Xenopus tropicalis: one gene and its partners. The protein of the gene in region 1 purifies or fractionates together with the protein of each later gene. This does not show direct contact. Links are inferred from orthologs where the notes say so. Each region holds a gene or a part of one and is shown in the gene's direction. Other genes may lie near its edges.

The links.
Region 2: the proteins of mcrip2 (region 1) and ddx6 purify together in Homo sapiens (co-immunoprecipitation; 5 studies listed by BioGRID and IntAct, with this or other methods). This does not show direct contact. The link is inferred for Xenopus tropicalis from reciprocal best matches to the Homo sapiens genes MCRIP2 and DDX6.
Region 3: the proteins of mcrip2 (region 1) and atxn2 purify together in Homo sapiens (co-immunoprecipitation; 3 studies listed by BioGRID and IntAct, with this or other methods). This does not show direct contact. The link is inferred for Xenopus tropicalis from reciprocal best matches to the Homo sapiens genes MCRIP2 and ATXN2.

What each region holds. Positions count from the first base shown.
Region 1 is NC_030685.2:21,688,255-21,694,478, reverse strand, and holds the start of mcrip2 (protein FAM195A), read left to right. Parts: upstream 1-2,213; 5' UTR 2,214-2,252; coding exon 2,253-2,304; intron 2,305-3,066; coding exon 3,067-3,163; intron 3,164-6,224.
Region 2 is NC_030683.2:80,842,138-80,847,916, reverse strand, and holds part of ddx6 (probable ATP-dependent RNA helicase ddx6), read left to right. Parts: intron 1-145; 5' UTR 146-422; coding exon 423-619; intron 620-1,169; coding exon 1,170-1,233; intron 1,234-1,659; coding exon 1,660-1,764; intron 1,765-1,862; coding exon 1,863-1,992; intron 1,993-2,946; coding exon 2,947-3,093; intron 3,094-3,238; coding exon 3,239-3,333; intron 3,334-3,895; coding exon 3,896-4,018; intron 4,019-5,658; coding exon 5,659-5,779.
Region 3 is NC_030677.2:163,126,665-163,132,443, forward strand, and holds part of atxn2 (ataxin-2), read left to right. Parts: intron 1-710; coding exon 711-899; intron 900-2,569; coding exon 2,570-2,671; intron 2,672-5,316; coding exon 5,317-5,384; intron 5,385-5,779. UniProt on the Homo sapiens protein: Involved in EGFR trafficking, acting as negative regulator of endocytic EGFR internalization at the plasma membrane.

The sequences.
Region 1 (6,224 bases):
TTACTACAGATATACTGTACCATGACCTAGATGAATAAGAATCTTCACAAACATATAGCCAGGTGCCATTTCCCAGTGAAGTGACTGAGAAACAGTTTGCCTGGGCCATAGCATAGCCCTCACCAAAAGGTAATGTGGAAGTCCACATTCTGTTCTCTTTAGAGTGAGCCCTAGGCCGGATGATTTCAGACCATTTGAATGAAAAAGGCTAACAATCAGGATGGTTTGACTCAGACAGGCAATAAGAATATCATAGCCTTCCATTCTAGAGGAACTGTAGCAGAACCAAAGGCAGATCCCTGACCTAGAATGTGTGCCACAGGGCTCTGATGCAATACTTACAGCTTCACTGCAACACTGCTTTATTCTCTCTTATCAGCTCTCTGCACTCATAGATAAGTTAAGTGGCATATCCCATGGGCCACCATTAGGGGAGTACAGGGGGTAATGTAGTGAGGGGCCCTGTGGCAAAAGGAGACCCCATGATGGAAAAGCTTTATTCACAGGTCAAGAAATAAGCCAGGGCTTGTGGCAAAGTGGGCAAAGTTTGGAAGGCCCACGTGCAGAGTTTGGCATAACTGGGATGTAGCTGGTGGAGATGAGGGATGGAGTGTGGCATAATTGGGAAGTGGTCAGGGTGAATCAGGAGTGTGAATCATGCATACAAGTTGTTGATAGGCCAGGGGGGCAGGTAAATAATGACTAATAACTGGGGCCCTCTGCTAATGTAGCACTGATGGTGACCTGTATATACAGTTCTAGTGCTAGTTCTGCTGCATATATACAGGATCCTTTATAGTTACACCCCATCCTTTTATATAATATTTGTTTTATTGGTGTGATGCAAATAAGCACTTTGCAGTACAAACACCAGTGTATCAGTATATGGCATCACTTGGCACAGTATTTAGTGATGGGCATGGTACCAGGTACCTATCTGGTTCTATGTATTATTCCCATATGTTGCTTTATTGTGTATCCAGGTTTGCCACCATGCGAAATCATGGAGCCCATACCTGTCAACTCCCCTGGGCTCACCCCCTGCACTCCCATGATTATATGCCATTCCCCCATTTTCTTACAATTTCTTACTGCATGTGCAGTGAGCATTCAGTTACATGGAAAGGGCCCTTACAAAAGGCCACGGCCCCAACCAAATAGGCCACATACATATTTTTTATCAACTTATTCCCAGCTAACTGCATTAGGAAACTAGCATCTCTGGGGGCCCTATGCTATTTAGAATGTGCCTCCCCCTCTAGGGAGTCAGCGTTATAAGCCCACCTGGGCTCCCTGTGTTATAGGCTCTACCTATTAAGTAGAAGGTGGATTCAATGTAAAAAATAATGTTCACTCACCAACAGAACAACCATGACCCATTACACTCAAACCTGCTCCATAATCCACCCAAAACCTGTCCATCCACTCTGCAAACCCATTTTAGCAGTCAGTAGGGCAATTGTGTCCACCAAGGCTCCACTGCTGTTATGGGGCCAGAGATGGACCAAGTAGTATCTGTTCCCATTGCAATAATACTTGCCCCCCAACTCATGCTCATATGCCCTCAGGCATAGTCAGCCCCACTTCATTACTAAGTCCCCTATGCAGCTCTTCCCTTACTTAGTCCTTCCATTTGAACCCCACCCCACCCAGTGGCACCCAAAGCATGTGCCTGTGAATACCCCTGAAAGGACTCCCACCTGTCCTCCCATTGCACCCATCTGTTGTACAGTACTGCAGCCCGTATGATAACAAATGTAATGTAACAATTCATGCCAGTACCAAACTTGGGCACCAGTCAGGCCTCATCAAATGCTAGAAGAAACCAACTGGAGACAAGGAGATTCAAGCTCTTTATAGAACAGCCTACATATCAGTTATAGTTCAGCAGGCTCAGCCCAGACTACAGTACAGTAACAGCGAGTCTATTGTCAGGTTCGGTAAAAGCCGAGACAGCACATGAACGGCTGCTCCTCACTCACTAACAGAGACAGCCCTTGGCTACTTGCCGCTAGAGGTGCAGACTGTACAGACTTCGCTGCCCAAACATTACACAATACATTAGATAACGAGTCAGACAGCTCTGTGCCAAGTGCTGCGTTCTCTTTAAGAGATTGAGGGGGGGCGTGTCCCGCAGCCCATGCCTTCTTAAAGAGCCAGCTGGTCCAGTCAAAAGTCACTGCCACTCTTCTGATCCCAGTGTTATCAGGGGCATCCGATTCTGCTATTGCCCCAGTCATCGCACTGCTGCCATGTACACCATAACCAGAGGGCCCAGCAAGCTAACCACCCAGAGGAGAACAGGTAGGGGCTGTCCGTGCGATTCCTAACGCTGCTGCGTCTCAATTGCATAACCATCATCTGTAGAATAACCTACAGGTACAGGGAAATTGCACGTGTGTAACCTTATGGCATGCTGATAAACTACAATTCCCGACATCCTCCCATATCCTTTGGCTGATAGATAGGAATACTGCTGGGAGTTGTTGTTAGACATATGAAAGGCCATCAGTTAGCTGGATCGCTTTCTGCTTGCACTGGGACACCGTGCAATCTGCCCAGGCAGCTCCCATGCCTTTCTACTGCCCCTCTGAAGGGTTAATAGCATGCTAAGGGGAGATCGTACCAGGGCCCAGATATGTGTCTGCCATTCTATTATAGGCTGTGCGTCCCTGAGCCCTAACATTGTACTCAATGCGCACATCCTACAGCCTGCCTGGGTTCCCTATACACTGTGCGGCGCACATATGCGTCAATCCCACCCGTGTATAATGCAGCCAGCCTTGGCTTTACGAGTATGTGAAAAATATTATATACGCACAGGTTCATTATGTGGGTGCTGCTGTTAAACTACAAGACTACAATCCCCAGCATGCTTTAGCACTAGGCGCAATGGTTGGGGATTCTGGGAATTCTAGTTCTGCTGCAGCTCCTTCTCAAGGAGAGCGCTATGAGGCTCTGAGAGTCAGCGGCACTGGGCGTTTATTCATACAGGGTATAACAAGACTCTCTATGGCGTTACTGCCACTGCCTTATCTGACTACAACCCATGTATGTCCTTCCCAGGCCCCAAGCAGCAGATTGACAGCAAACTGCAAGAACTGAAGAACAAGCAGCAGCTTCTCATCCCCAATACACCTAACGGCTGGGACTCCCCTCCAAGGTCAGCTAACTCTTCATTGCCATAGTGTCATGGTGTGAATGTTGGGTGCGGAGCTGCCATGGTGCTGCCCCCCCACCTCTCCTCACGGTACTGTACTGCTCCTTACGCTGCCGCTGCGTGACCTTGTGCAGAGGTGACCATGTGCCCGGTGTCATTGTCACATGACCGGCTTGGAAGGGAGGTGTGTTTGTGAGGGGCGGGGCCAGACGGGTGGGTGTGATACGGGGCTGTTTAACCCATTACTATCTCGACGCGCTGTATTTTGATCGCCGCTTACAGCTATTTTCTAGATTAGCATGTGTACCGCAAGTGAGACGCTACTGATTAAGGTTTCTTCTACAGGAAGTGGGAACCTATAGCTGTCACTGCCCCACAGTCACCACAACCCCAAACTGCTACTGAGGATTGCGGCATGGCGAGAGGTGTAGTTCAGCAATGGTCAAAAAGCCATAGGTTGCCCTTATCTGTTCTGTAGCAGTGCTGTAAAACTATAGATCTCTGCAGGACTGCAAGGGCAAAGGGTATTAGTCATGGGGGTCCCTCAACCAGGGCGATTGTAGCTAAGAGGATGGAGGGGTCTAGCAAGACTAGTTATCCAATGTGGGGCCCACACTGGGCTAAATATCTAGGGGGACAAATGGCCTGCAAAAAAGTTTCAGTACAGTAAATGCAGGCCTGTAGGACACTAGTTATTGTACTGGGCAGCTATAATGGCATACAGGTGATTCTGCAATCAGTGTCACCCGTTTATCTCAAGGTGGAAGCTACTCCATTTTTTTTTTTAAACTTTTTAGTTTGCTAGTGATTGCAAAATAATTAGTCAGGTTAGCAGTGCACAAAAGTACCCCTGCATTATGGACTAATGTCACAACAAAGAGAGGGGTTTGTTTATACAGAGCTCAAGTATTTCTAGCTAAAACAACTCAATTATAGGTAAGATAGTAAGTGTGAAAGCAAGATAATACATTACTGCTTTATAATAGAAACCTTTAATAAATAATAGATTTTTTCAATGAAAAGAATAATCAGAATGTATTATTATATCATTAACATTTATTTATAAAGTGCCAACATATCCCGCAGCGCTGTACAATAAGTGGGTTACATACATTGGACATACAGAGTAACATATAAAGCAATCAATAACCGATACAAGAGGTGAAGAGGGCCCTGTCCAAAAGAGCTTACACGCTAAAAAGTTATAGCTTCCTTTCTGTTGGTTTTGTTGTTTATGTAGGTATAATGTCTTATTAAATAATGGGAAGGGAGCATGCTGTGGCAGGTATCTTGAACTACAGCTCCCAGCATCCTCCTGACAACCCAATGCAATCATTTTTTTTTCTTTTAGCTGTAGTCAGTTATGATATTATTTTGTCAGTGATTTGTGGTGATTTTTCAGCCCTGTATCTCTGTGTATTATGTGCTGGCCCGCCCCGCTACCTGCCTGGTGTCCGAGGTTCTGATTGCTATGAATGGCATGTTTTGGTCTGCAGGACAAACCTACATTATTTCTGTGGGGGAGGAGAATTTCTCTCAGATTTGTAAGAGAACAGGGCAGGGTACATTGTGTTGTGCAGCACCTTGGGTGTGTGCCCAGTGCCAGTCATTGATATACCTGAGGGCTATGCAACGCACGGGGATTTTGGGTGCCACTTGGACTGAGGCCGAGTAGCCGTGCTTTTAAGCACTTCACGTGCCATTAGGGTGCTAATTTGATGTATCCCTGACATGAAGTTATTTGACATGGCCGCTTCCCTAAAGTGGTCTGACCCTGTTAGTGACCTTCTGTGTGTCCTTGAGATGGCTCCGCCCCCTCTGCCTCATGGTTTCATAGGGATTGAACTTTGACCTCATGTTTTGAGATATTTTACTTTAGAGCCAATTGTACGAGTTGGCTCCATTACGGTGACTCCTCTCAGTGCCACAGACTGGGATTTCTAGTCAGGGAGGTAAATTCCTGTTGGAAGATGAGTTAAATCACATGACAAAAATCCAGTTTTTTTTTTTTTTTTAGGGTAAAATTACACATTTATCACAAGGTATGTTACCAGCTACCTGGATGACCCAGCCTTAAAGGAGTACTTTACCTTTAAATTACCTTTAGTGTGAAATTCTGAGTTTGCAATTGGTCTTCATTTTTTATAAATTTTTCATACATTTAGCTTTTTATTCAGCAGTTTCCAGCTTGGTATTTGAGCAGCTATCTGGGTGCTAGGATCTTATTGCCATAGCAATCAGGCAGTGGTTTGAATAACAGACTGGAATAAGAATACGATGGGGACTGAATAGAAGGATAAGTAATACAAGATAACAATAATAATACAATTGTTGCCTCAAAGAGCCATCAATTTTTTTTTTGCCTGCTGGCAGGGTCGGACTGGGGGCCCCACACCCCCCAAGGTGCCTCCTCCGGCCATGTCCCCTGCAGGAGCCCCCACCGCGCACCCCTAAATTCCCCCCCACAGGGGCCCCTGTCTGACGTCCTCCCCTAAACACATATGTGAAACGTGTCAGGGGAGGACATCGGAGGCCAGAGGAAGCAGCAATAGGGTCGGGTCCGCTGGGGCCCACCAGGGCTCGGGGCCATCGGGTTTTTCCCGGCGGCCCAGTCCAACCCTGCCTGCTGGGGTTACTCCCATCTGAAAGCTGGAAAGAAGTAAAAGATAAAGCCAAATTACTCAGAAACTAGAAAGAATAAATAATGAAGACCATTGCATTTGTGTGACATTGGTGTCAGTCATAGCCTGTCACATGTAGGGTGCCTGATGTCACTTCAGTGGGTGACGCCAGTTCCACCGGAAGTGATGTTACATGTGCCTGCGATTGCCATGGGAACCCTCACCCCACAGCTCTGCCGGTGGATTTGGCCAGGAAGCATCTGGCTCCTGCGGAGGGGTTTTATTCTTTTTTTTATCTTTATTATCAATTGTATATCCACCCAATGGTAACCCCAGGCACAGGCCCTCTGCTGCCTCGTATATATATATAGGAGTGCTCAGAAAGCAAAAGCTGCTGTTCAGCTACTTGTAATAGAGAAACAAAATAAAAATGCATGCAGGAA
Region 2 (5,779 bases), on another chromosome or scaffold:
TTGTGTTTGAGACTCCCAGTGTCTCTTGGTTTCAAGCTTGTGGAAGTGTTTCCCACTATCCATAAATGCATAGTAAATAGAACCTGGCAACAGGGCTTCCTCATTTAAGGTATATTAATAATTTAATTTTTTTTTTCTATTCTAGATTGACTTGAAGGAACGGACTTTATTCTTAGTTTTGGGCTTTTTTTAATAAAGGAAATTGATTTTGTGCACCAGAGCAAGTGATTTCACTGTTGACAGACTTTAAGGACAAGCACTTGCTTGTGTTGCAATAACAAAGACTCATATATTGAGCAAGACTTTATCTCTTCATTTCGAAGAGTCAAATAAACTTATTACAGTCTCTGTACTGACTTTAAACCTTGTGAAGCTGAAAAGACACACCTTCAAAGGGACAATTTAATTAAATACAAAACAAAATGAGCACCGCCAGAACCGAGAACCCTGTTTTAATGGGTATGTCCAGCCAGAATGGGCAGCTAAGAGGCCCATTGAAACCCAGTGCAGGGCCTGGAGGTGGGGGGACACAGACACAACAAATAAACCAGCTGAAAAATGCCAGCACAATCAACAGTGGCAGTCAGCAGCAAGCACAGAGCATGAGCAGCGTTATAAAGTGAGTATACTCTACCTTTGTTTTATCACCACTTATAAAAACCTTATTTGGGCCTCTGGTTTATCCATGTTTTATTTTTAAGAAAACAAAACATGCTATTCATAATAATGGAAGTGTCCTGAGATGTGTATTTGTAATGTCTAGTCTTTTGTACAATTGCTTAGTCATCTTGGAATCTTCTGCAGGTTTGTGTAGTAGCACTTTGTAGTATATGGCGCTTGTTATTAAAATTGAACTGCATAGTTATTACAGACATGCATTTACAACTGCTGACATGACTTGCCTTTAAATAGTGGCCAGAAGTGGTCTTCAAAGCAAAACTCTATATTGGTTTTGTCTGCACCCTTTTCATACATTGGGCCACAAATCCATTACATCAAATGTCTGTGGTCAAATATGCTCTGGCCATAATAAGCACATAATAGCACAGTCTATTGTTAGGGTAATCTACAAATGTTCATGTATAGGAATAACTTATAACGCAAATATGTGCCATCATACATTTTACTGATGTTTAATAATACATTTGAACTATTTTGTTTACTTGCAGACCTGGTGATGACTGGAAGAAGACATTAAAACTCCCTCCAAAAGACCTTAGAATCAAGACTTCGGTGAGATGCAAAAGATTTTTTTTTTTTTTAAGCTAGCATCCTTTATAACACAAAAAGGGTACAAACTTGTCAGTACCTCACATAGAATAAATTTGCTTTTAACCAATCTGGATGATTTTGTACTGTTTTTCTGAATAATTCCCTTGCACCAGCCAACTGCTCCACCACTTTCATTTGTAGTATGGCAGACTATTGGCAATTAGGCGAAGGTGACCAGCAAAGCTGGAATTGGCTACCCACATCCTAGTTTGTGCATCTTCACAGAGATTGTTACGAGCAGTGGGCATATTCTAACAAAGATTCTATTGGGAGTACCAGTAAAGTTTTTCAACCATAGGTTGTTTGTAAGTGTCCCTCTGGAGGGAAATCTGGGATCTAAATCATATATACAAAATAAACTAATCTTTTCCTAAACCTGTCACCCAGGATGTCACCTCCACAAAAGGAAATGAATTTGAAGATTACTGTTTAAAAAGAGAGCTGCTCATGGGGATATTTGAAATGGGATGGGAGAAACCATCTCCAATACAGGTTGGTATAAAATGGTCTTCTAAAAGTAACCAGTCTGTTAAACATTCGCACAGTTCTGAGATATATGTATCATAATTTTTTTTTTTTTTTTTTTTTAGGAGGAGAGCATTCCCATTGCATTGTCCGGTAGGGATATCTTGGCTAGAGCAAAAAATGGAACTGGCAAGAGTGGAGCCTACCTCATTCCCTTACTTGAACGGCTAGACCTAAAGAAGGACTGTATACAAGGCAAGTTTCGAAGGGAAAGTATCTTCTAGTGAAAAAACTGGTGATGTTGCCTATAGCAACCAGTCAGTAATTAGATTTGAACAGTCACCTGCAACTTAATGACCAATTTCAGTGCGATCCAGCAAATTATCATAAGGTTAGTGGGCACCATACAATTGCACATCTAGCATTTTTTCATCCAGCATATCTGGTCCAGTCAGAAAAAAAGGTCAGATGGTTTAAAAAATTTTCTTTTGCCCATTGTCCAATTGTTTATAGGACCAAGCAGGGTAGTTTTCATAGCTTCAACTAGACAATATTGCTTGAAATGGTCATTTAGTTGGACAAATTGTGCTTTCAAATGATAGTTTCAGGATAAGCTGATCCTACAATAACGAAAAGATCTATTAAAAATCATAACGTGTATAGCAAGCTTCAGAAAACATAAGCAAAGATCTGATTTCTTGCTATGGGCAGCATCACCAGTGAAGTTTGTCTCCAGTGTCAATAAATAACGCCCCCTTAGTCTTGAAACCGTTCTAGTAGGCCTCTTTCCCTTCTGGGATAAAAGGCCCCAACCACCAAGCAGTCACACGCGCAATGTCAGAAGTGGGAACCCTCTCCTGTTTACTTTCAGTTCTGCAACTTTTACATGAGGTTAGGATGCCACTTTATTGTGGTTCCACACAAGAACTTGTTGACCAGTGATTAACACATCAGAGTTTTACTGGTTTGTCTTGCCACAATTTTTACTGCCCATTTCTCTGTAAGCTAACTGGCACCTGCACCACTTAGAGGGTACCTTAAGTTTACTTGTGAAGGAACCAAATTAATCCCATGAGATGACTTGATAGGTTAGACAATTATAATGTATACATGAAGACAGTTTGGTGCTGTTGAGGCTATAGATGCTAAAGTCACTCATGCATGTTACAATTTTAATGTGTTCTATGTTTCCATCTCTTCTCCATGTAGCAATGGTGATTGTTCCTACTCGAGAACTGGCACTACAGGTCAGTCAGATTTGCATCCAGGTCAGCAAGCACATGGGCGGGGTCAAAGTCATGGCGACAACAGGGGGCACAAATCTGAGAGATGATATAATGAGGCTTGATGATACAGGTAAAGAAGTTTGAATAACTTTCAGAATGACTTTATTGCAAGTAGATAACTGCTTTTAGCTTTAAATATTTTTTTGCATAGAACAAAGAGTCTATAAAATGCATATAATGAAATGTAATAACATGAGTGTTTTCCCCTTCTCTAGTACATGTAGTAATAGCAACTCCTGGCAGGATTCTGGATCTCATTAAAAAAGGTGTGGCTAAAGTAGACCATATCCAGATGATCGTGTTGGATGAGGTAAAGCATTTAATCTATAGTGTTACAATTAGACTGCTCCGGTGTTTTTCACAGGCTATTTTAGCACTCGCTCTTTTTTTTTTTTTTTTTTTTTTTTTAATATACATTTTAAAGTCTGTGCCCTCCTTGCCTGCAGTCATAGAAATATTTTAGCAGTGCTGGTATTACTGTACACCACACATTGTATTTGCAGAAGCACAGGAGATTCCACTGATCCTAGCAACAATATAGTAATTTGAATAATTGACTTATAGATGATTAATAATTACAATAAAAATCTGGCTGCTCTGTCAAACAAGTAAGATTTTTTTTTTTTAATTGAAGTTTTAGCTTCAGGCTCCAGACTAAGATTTAAAGCTGTTTGTCTAGAAGTGTTACAGCTATTACTTTTTCATAAAGGACAATTTGTATCTAAATGTAAAAGTATTCACATATAAATGTGTCAAATAGTGCTTTTTTTTTTTTTTAATTTTGTTACTTTCATGTTTATAAATGACTATTTTAGTTATGGTAAATTATAAATGTTAACTATTTTCTGCCAACTTTTTTTTTTTTTTTGTAGGCAGACAAACTACTGTCTCAGGATTTTGTGCAAATAATGGAGGATATAATTATCACGCTACCTAAAAACAGACAGATTCTACTTTACTCAGCCACATTTCCCCTCAGTGTTCAGAAGTTTATGGCAAGTACAGAACTCTATTATTTTGGTTCAGATTCATGTTTGCAACTTGTCCTTTGTGTGACTTGTTAGTATATATAGTTAATGGGTCACTCTTCCAGTGAATAAATCCCCAAAAAAATGAAGTTGTTTACCTATAGAACATGTTTACTAGTCAGTTGCACAGAGATCTGTTCTCAGAGTCCAGGCCGAATTGCAAGATGGGAGTTACTGTTTCCCATAGGTAACGGACTTTTTCATAAACAAATGAACAGTGACTAAGCTTGCCAAAGTCCTGCCCTTCATTTTTGCACTGTCTTTCTGAAGAAATCTGCGCTCTGAATTCCAGTGGTAGTTTTGTTTTACTATGAACTCTGCTGCTAGAAAGGATGAAACCTATTCAGTAGTACATATAAACAATTCTGCCTTATAACATGGGGTTGCTGCTGGAATTCAAGTGCAGATTTCTTTAGAGAGAACAGGTGGCTAATCCGAATATATGTCTTAAAGCACCCAAGCCACAAGATAAGTATTTAATTGACTTTAAAGTAAGAGATGGAAGATGTAGCGAAGGTATGCACTAAATAAAAACAAAGCAGAGGCATGTCTAGAACAAAAAACCTACTTAGGAGGAAGGCATGTCTTCTGATCAAACATGGCCAATAAGAGCAGATCTGTTTGCTGTTCTAATATTTGTATAACTGAGCTCTAAAATCTGATGGCCATTATGTATACATGTGCTTACCAGCAACCTGCCTCTTGGCCTCCTCAACTTTGTTTGTAATGTACAATCAACTCAAAAAATATTGAAGCCATGATTGCAGAGATCAAAGTTTTTTAGTTTTGAAAATCTGGTTTACGCATGTGGAGTTAGGAGTCCCCAAGCCCTCCACGTGCAGTAATCTTAATCTATGCCTGGATTGAGATATTTGGGTTACATGACCCTACCAAATGTCATCGCTGACTCTCCTATCTTTGCCCATTCCAGTGGAAACATTTAGATGTTGCCATAGTGACGTCGCCAAGCAAGCAGATCTTGGTGTATGGGGCCACCTTAAGAAAATCAAGGCTTGCTTGAGACTCCTCCAGTTACATGGGAGTAAGAAAAAACAGGTTACCTAAAAGCATTTCTAGCAGTAAAATCCATGGCTGTTAAACTTCTTGCAGTCAGGGTTGGACTGGGGGGTGAAGGGCCCACCGGTGCTCCCACCCCAGGGGCCCCCCTAACCCTCTCGCAGGGCCCCCCCACCCGACATCATCCCCCAAACGCATAATTTTAACACGGCAGGGGGAGCACTGGCAAGGGTCGGGTCTGGGCTGCCAGGGCCCACCGGGATTTTTCCCGGTGGCCCAGTCTGGCCCTGCTTGCAGTAGAAACTTCTACCTTCTACTTTGTATGTCTGTATACTTTTGAGTAGACTTAACTTTATGGGGACTTTAATATATTGACTCTTTATAATGCTGTTACATTGAAGTCTGCAGGAAAGCTCAGGTGTAGCACAGTCTGAGCCAGTGGCCACCACCTGAATTTTAAACCACCGCTACATTAGGTGCTGGTCAGATCCCAGCTACAAATCTTGATTCAAGCAGTTTTTTGGCAATTTAAGAATTTTGTTCCTATTTTTCTATGCTACATGCTAATTCCATAACAATTTTTATTATAGACTTCCCATTTGCAAAAACCCTATGAGATTAACCTGATGGAGGAATTAACGCTGAAGGGAGTAACGCAATATTATGCCTATGTGACTGAACGGCAGAAAGTTCACTGCCTCAACACACTGT
Region 3 (5,779 bases), on another chromosome or scaffold:
AGGTGCCAGACATGCATATCCTGCCGTTATGACACCTGGTGAGACTTTTACACACCCACACACGGGACAGAGATTTAAAATACGGCATCGGATTACGTGTACCACAACCCATGTAATTTACCTTGTCACATGCCCGTGTGGGCTTTCGTACGTTGGTACAGGTTGCTACTCCAACGTGAATCCTTTTGGATTAGAAAACTTGATACACTCACCAAGGGGGCTAAATGAGTATTGTTCTCTGCATTGTTTTTTGCCAGTTAGGTGACTTTAAGTGACTTGAGGTAGTATTATGCAGGGAAGTTTAGTAGTCATTGTGCCTCATACCTGTGTGAATAGGGATTTCCCGCACCCCTTTGATGACATGGTTAATGTCTGGGGAGGGGGGTGGGGCCGGTTGGCTGACATGTGACCAGTGGGTGGGATTAATCTTGTATATAAAGTTTTATTGTATGTAATTTATATTAAGGGTATAACATCGTGAACAAGGTCTTAGACCATGACCGAAACGTTGATGTAAAGTTTAACATTTGGAATTGGAGTGCGCACAATCCTTGGAATATTGTATACATGGAACAACCGTTTTGCAGCACCCAGAGAAACTATGTGAAATATGAGTGATATGGGAGTGCGGACTATTCTGTAAATTTTATATATATATATATATATATATATATATATATTTTTTTTTTTTTTTTTTTTCCTTTCTACAGTTCAAAGGTTATCTCCAAAGACACACCGGCCGAGGTCTCCAAGGCTAGGAAGTCATGCACCAGGTTCAAATGTGTCATCACCCCAGCCTAGTACAGTACCTCCCGAGTCGGTTTCTATGCCAGTGCCTGCCGCATCCCCTACACCTGCTAGCCCTGCATCTAACAGAGCCGTTACTCCCTCTTGTGAAGGTACATTGTTGACATTTTACTATTTTATTTCTAGAAATTAAACTTTCTTGTTTAAAAACTTTTCTTGAACCAATTCTGTAAAATCTTTTAGGGTCAGTAGAAGACTGAAATGATGATGGGTCTGTTAGCTTAAAGACTACTGTGGGCCACGCACGGGCAAAATAAATTTGTGAATGTTAGAGTTCGCCATTTGATAAATATGCCCCTAAGGGTGATGGCATATGGTAGAGATTTGTTGCCTGCAGTAGTGCAGATTTAACCTTGGGCGACAAATCTTAACCTTAGATTGCCACAAGTAACAGGCTTTTCTTGCAGCAATCTTGACTTAATCATCTGGCTTTATATGAAGGGAGGCAGTTGGCCAAAGAAATGTTTGTTTCACTTGCAATCTGATCATAACCTTCATATCACCTCCCACATGGTAACTATAACCTCATTGTAACAATAGGTGTGGACTAAAGGTGGCCATATACAGGCAGATTTAAGCTGCTAATTCTAGACCTTTAGATCGTTTCGCCAGTTTATCTGCCCATGTATGGGGACCCCCGATAGCCCTACCTAACTGATATCTGGCTGAAAATTGGCCAGGTGTCGACTGGGCAGGTTTGATCCAAAGATCGAATTGGCCCAATATTGCCTACCTTAGGTGGGCATATTGGGGGGGAAAAGATCTTATCATATATGTCCACCTTAAGGATATGCAGAAAAAGCAATTGACCGGCACAACAAGTGTGATGCAAGCGGGGCTCCTGCGTGTTTATTTAAGAATAACAGCAATGTTTTGGGGGCGTACCCCTTCGTATCCTTAAGGATATGGGCACACAGACCTTTTGCTGAACTTCTCTTGGCCTGCGTTTTTTTCTGCAGGCTGAGAAGAGGAACAGCTCCCTTACGTATCTTTGTTTACTTGCACTTAGTACAGTTTCCATTTGAGTGCAAGTACGTGGAGTGGAGGTCAGCCTAAAAATGCCTGCTTTAGTGGTTTTCCAGCCTGACCACTCTATTTTACCTGGACTTGAGTGGAAGATGAACAGAGCTGCGTAAAGAGAACTGTAGTTTGTTCATAAGTAGGTAAAGCTAAATAGAATATGATCTGATCATGTTTGTGGGAGCAAAAATTACATTTCATAGGAAATGATCCATGTGTAGGGCTTTAAGATGAAGATAAACCTATTCCAATGTAAAACTTAATATGCAGTTTTTGACAATTTCTGGTCCTTATTTGTTGACGGTTAATGTCAGCGTATAGCCAGATTTAAAGAAGGTTATTAGTGTTAATAGCCCCAGACCGTAGTCATCTTTGTTCCTCCCATATGGTATATTGTCATTGTCTATCAACTAGCCCTGTAGCAGGCAGCTTAGCTACAGCTGCAATTATAAAGAATCAAATCTGTGATTTAGCCACAAGTTAGACATCTTTTAGCCTGGCATCTGCTTGTTGCTGTGAACAGTGACATATCAGAGGAAAAGCTAGTAGGCACACACTCTGTGAATGTCTGAGATATTGGATGATGCCAGAGAAAAGCTGTGTCAAGACTGCTCAGTTCTGTTGCTCATGCGCATTGGATCATTTCAAAAGCTGAGTTTGTATTCTGGTAGGTCGTGGTTTGTACGTTAGTTTTATCATGCAGAGGAGATTATAACCCTGTACTCTGACATTCCCTTTGTAGCTAAGGATTCAAGACTGCAAGATCAGAGGCAAAATTCCCCAGCTGCTTGCAGAGAAAATAGTAAACAAAGTGAATCTAGTTGTAGTAAAACTGAAAACAAAGGTAGGTTCAGTATGCTGTCTCATTGATTGGTTTGAATGTTCATAAGCAAGATAAGTGGGAAGTCGTAGTCAAATTCTTATGGTTATTGTTTGCATTCTTTATTATGTATTGTTTGTTTGGGCCTCCCCTCTTAAATTAGGAAAGTTTATTTCTTACATAAAAACATACACAGTGCATATTAACATCCAAAATTCTGGCTGAGATGTGAGTCAAAATTGTGTGCCAACAAACTTCACATTAATAGAACAATCTTTTTCCATTTACATAATAAAAATGTGCAGCTAAGAGGGATTTACCTCCGTCATCCTGCTGATCCCTCACTTCTGCACAGGTTTCCTTATATGATGTCATGCATAGTATTGGCAGCAGACTTAACTCCTATTGGCTGTGTTTCCTGTCAAATCGAAAATAACAGCATATCACAAATCTAACGCACGGAGTTAGTTTACCTATGTCATATCGAGGGAGAAATTAACCAATGACCTTTCAGATTATGCAGCTGGTTAGAGTGCACAAGCAACCAATGAATTGATCCAACAGGAAAAAAGTAAGGGCAAATCCTGAATGTGGTGATGTAAACGTATAGGAAATGTCAGGTTCAAAACAGGCCACGCCCATCCCTTTAGAAAACTGGTCAGACACCCAAGGACTGATTTAACAGGTATTTTATGGAAAATGGATTTTCTTCTAATACGCTGAGAGCATTGGTGGTGGTTTAATAATAAGATTTGAACATTGAAGGCGAGCAACACCTTTAAGAGTACACTAAATCTGTAAATTTTTAAGTTGTTTTTTCTGAATACTGTACAGTAGGATTCCCCAACATTTTTTACGCATGAGCCACACACAGATGCAAAAAGTGTTGGCAAACAACACAAGCATGAAAAAAGTTCATTGGAGATGTCAATAAGGGCTGTGATTGGCTATTTGGTTGCCCTATGTGGACGGCTAGCCTGTTAGATGCTCTGCTTGGAGTACAACTGTGTCTCTGTACTTCCAAAACGTGCAGCCAAGCCACAAATTTTTAATTTATACTTTAAGGCCACAGGGAGCAACATGAAAGGGGTGGCGAGCAACATGTTGCTCACAAGACACTTCGTTGGGATCATTGCTGTACAGGTATGGGAACGGTTATCCAGAAAGCTCTGAACCACTGGAAGTCTCTCTCTTATAGACTGCATTTGAATCTAATAATTCAAATTTTTTTTTTTTTGTCTATTTTAATAATAAAATGGTACCTTGGGAATCTCAACTAAAATATAATAAGCTATAAGAGATAATAATCCTTATTGGGGGCAAAACAATCCTATTGTGTTTAATGTTTAAATTTATTTTTGGGTTGACTAAAGGTATAACGATAAGTTTCCATACCTGTACTGAGTTCAAACCCTAATTTGGGTATTCTGATTTGAGGAAAATTGCGTTGGTTGTGGAAAAAACTTGTCATGTTAAGAATTTTCCTTTAGCGAAAGAGCTCTAAAATAAAAAAGCACAACGTGAAATTTTTTTTTTTTTTAGCAGATGTCTTGGGGGACATGAGCTGAAAATGAAGTTGCATTTAAAATTTAAAAGGGATCTATAGAAAAAATTAAAATTTTAAGCCTCACCTGACTGAAATACTATGCTTCTAATCAATTAAAAATTCTGTTCTGTTTCTGAAATTACTAAGTTACTCTTCAACCTCTCCTCTCATCATTTGTCTCCATTCTCTCTCTTCATGCAGTAGGTTGTCTGGTTTTGATTTAACAGTGGAATAAACCTACTTGTATTATAATGTAGCCACTTTATACCTCCTTAATATTGGAGTTATTACATTACACAGATATGGGATCTGTTATCTGGAAACCCAGATATTCAGAAAGTTACAAATTATGGGAAGGCCATTTTCCATAGACTCCATTTGAATGAAATAAATCAAAATTTAAAAGATTTACCCTTTCTCTGTTATAATAAACCTGTACCTTGTATAATATATAATTAATACTTATTGGGGCAAAACAATCCTATTGGGTTTAATGTTTAAATGATTCAATTTTAAATGTTACTGTTCCTTTATGTCTAGTAAAAAATAATAATTTATGGCAATATAATGTACTGTGCCCCTGCAGTGGTAAAAACTGTTTTGCTTCATGACTATAGTTTATTAAAAAAAAAAAGAAATTGCCATGAAGGCAGCTATTCAAGCACATGATACATAGTAAATAAGCTGTGCAGAAGCAGAATCCCACTGTATACTACAGAGCTTATCTGGTATGTGCTATGTAACCTGTGTCTTTACTCCTTTTCCAGCTTGAATGGCTGCCTCCATGGCTAACCAGCAGCTTATTTATATAAACTAAAGTTTCTAAAGCAAAGGCACTAGTTGTACCAGTGCAGTCCAACAGTACATTATATTTTAATTACTGAAAAACACTTTCATTTTTTGGTGTTTCTGTTCCTTAAAGGTATGGAGATCCAAATTATGGAAAGACCCCTTATACAGAATGCTTGGGACATGGAGCTTTCTGGATAACAGGTCACATACTAGTAGTCCATGTAGAATCTATTTCACTAACCATTTAATAACATTTACAGAGACTTTGAACATGTTTATATTTCCCTCCCTACTTAAATTAATTAACTTAGATTTTCTTGTTTTAAACTAGTATCTCCAATGGCTTCCGAACAAAGGAAACAGCTTGATGATTTAAAGAAATTTAAAAATGATTTTAGGGTAAGTTTCATGGACTTTTTTTTTTTTTTTTTGTACAATTTTATATCTCAAAGGTTATGCTGCATTCAGCACATATGCACACCATCTTGGACCCTATTTCACAACTGTCTTTGTCTTTAATGTAGAATTGAGAGGCACTTACTATGAGATGCTCATCCTCAAATTATCTTTTTCACTTTTATTATTATTGCTAAGTTAAGCTACAGACCCTGGAAAATCTCTAAAGCTGTGTTTCTAAACATTGCTGTATAAAACTCCCAAGGCCTGTAGGGCTGCTTTACATGGGAATTCCTACGCTTCCATATTCTTCTGTCACTATATAAATTTAAGGCATATTGAGTTATTTCCAACTCTACTCTGCAGAATTTTAAGGGCATATGTCCTGCTGACAATGT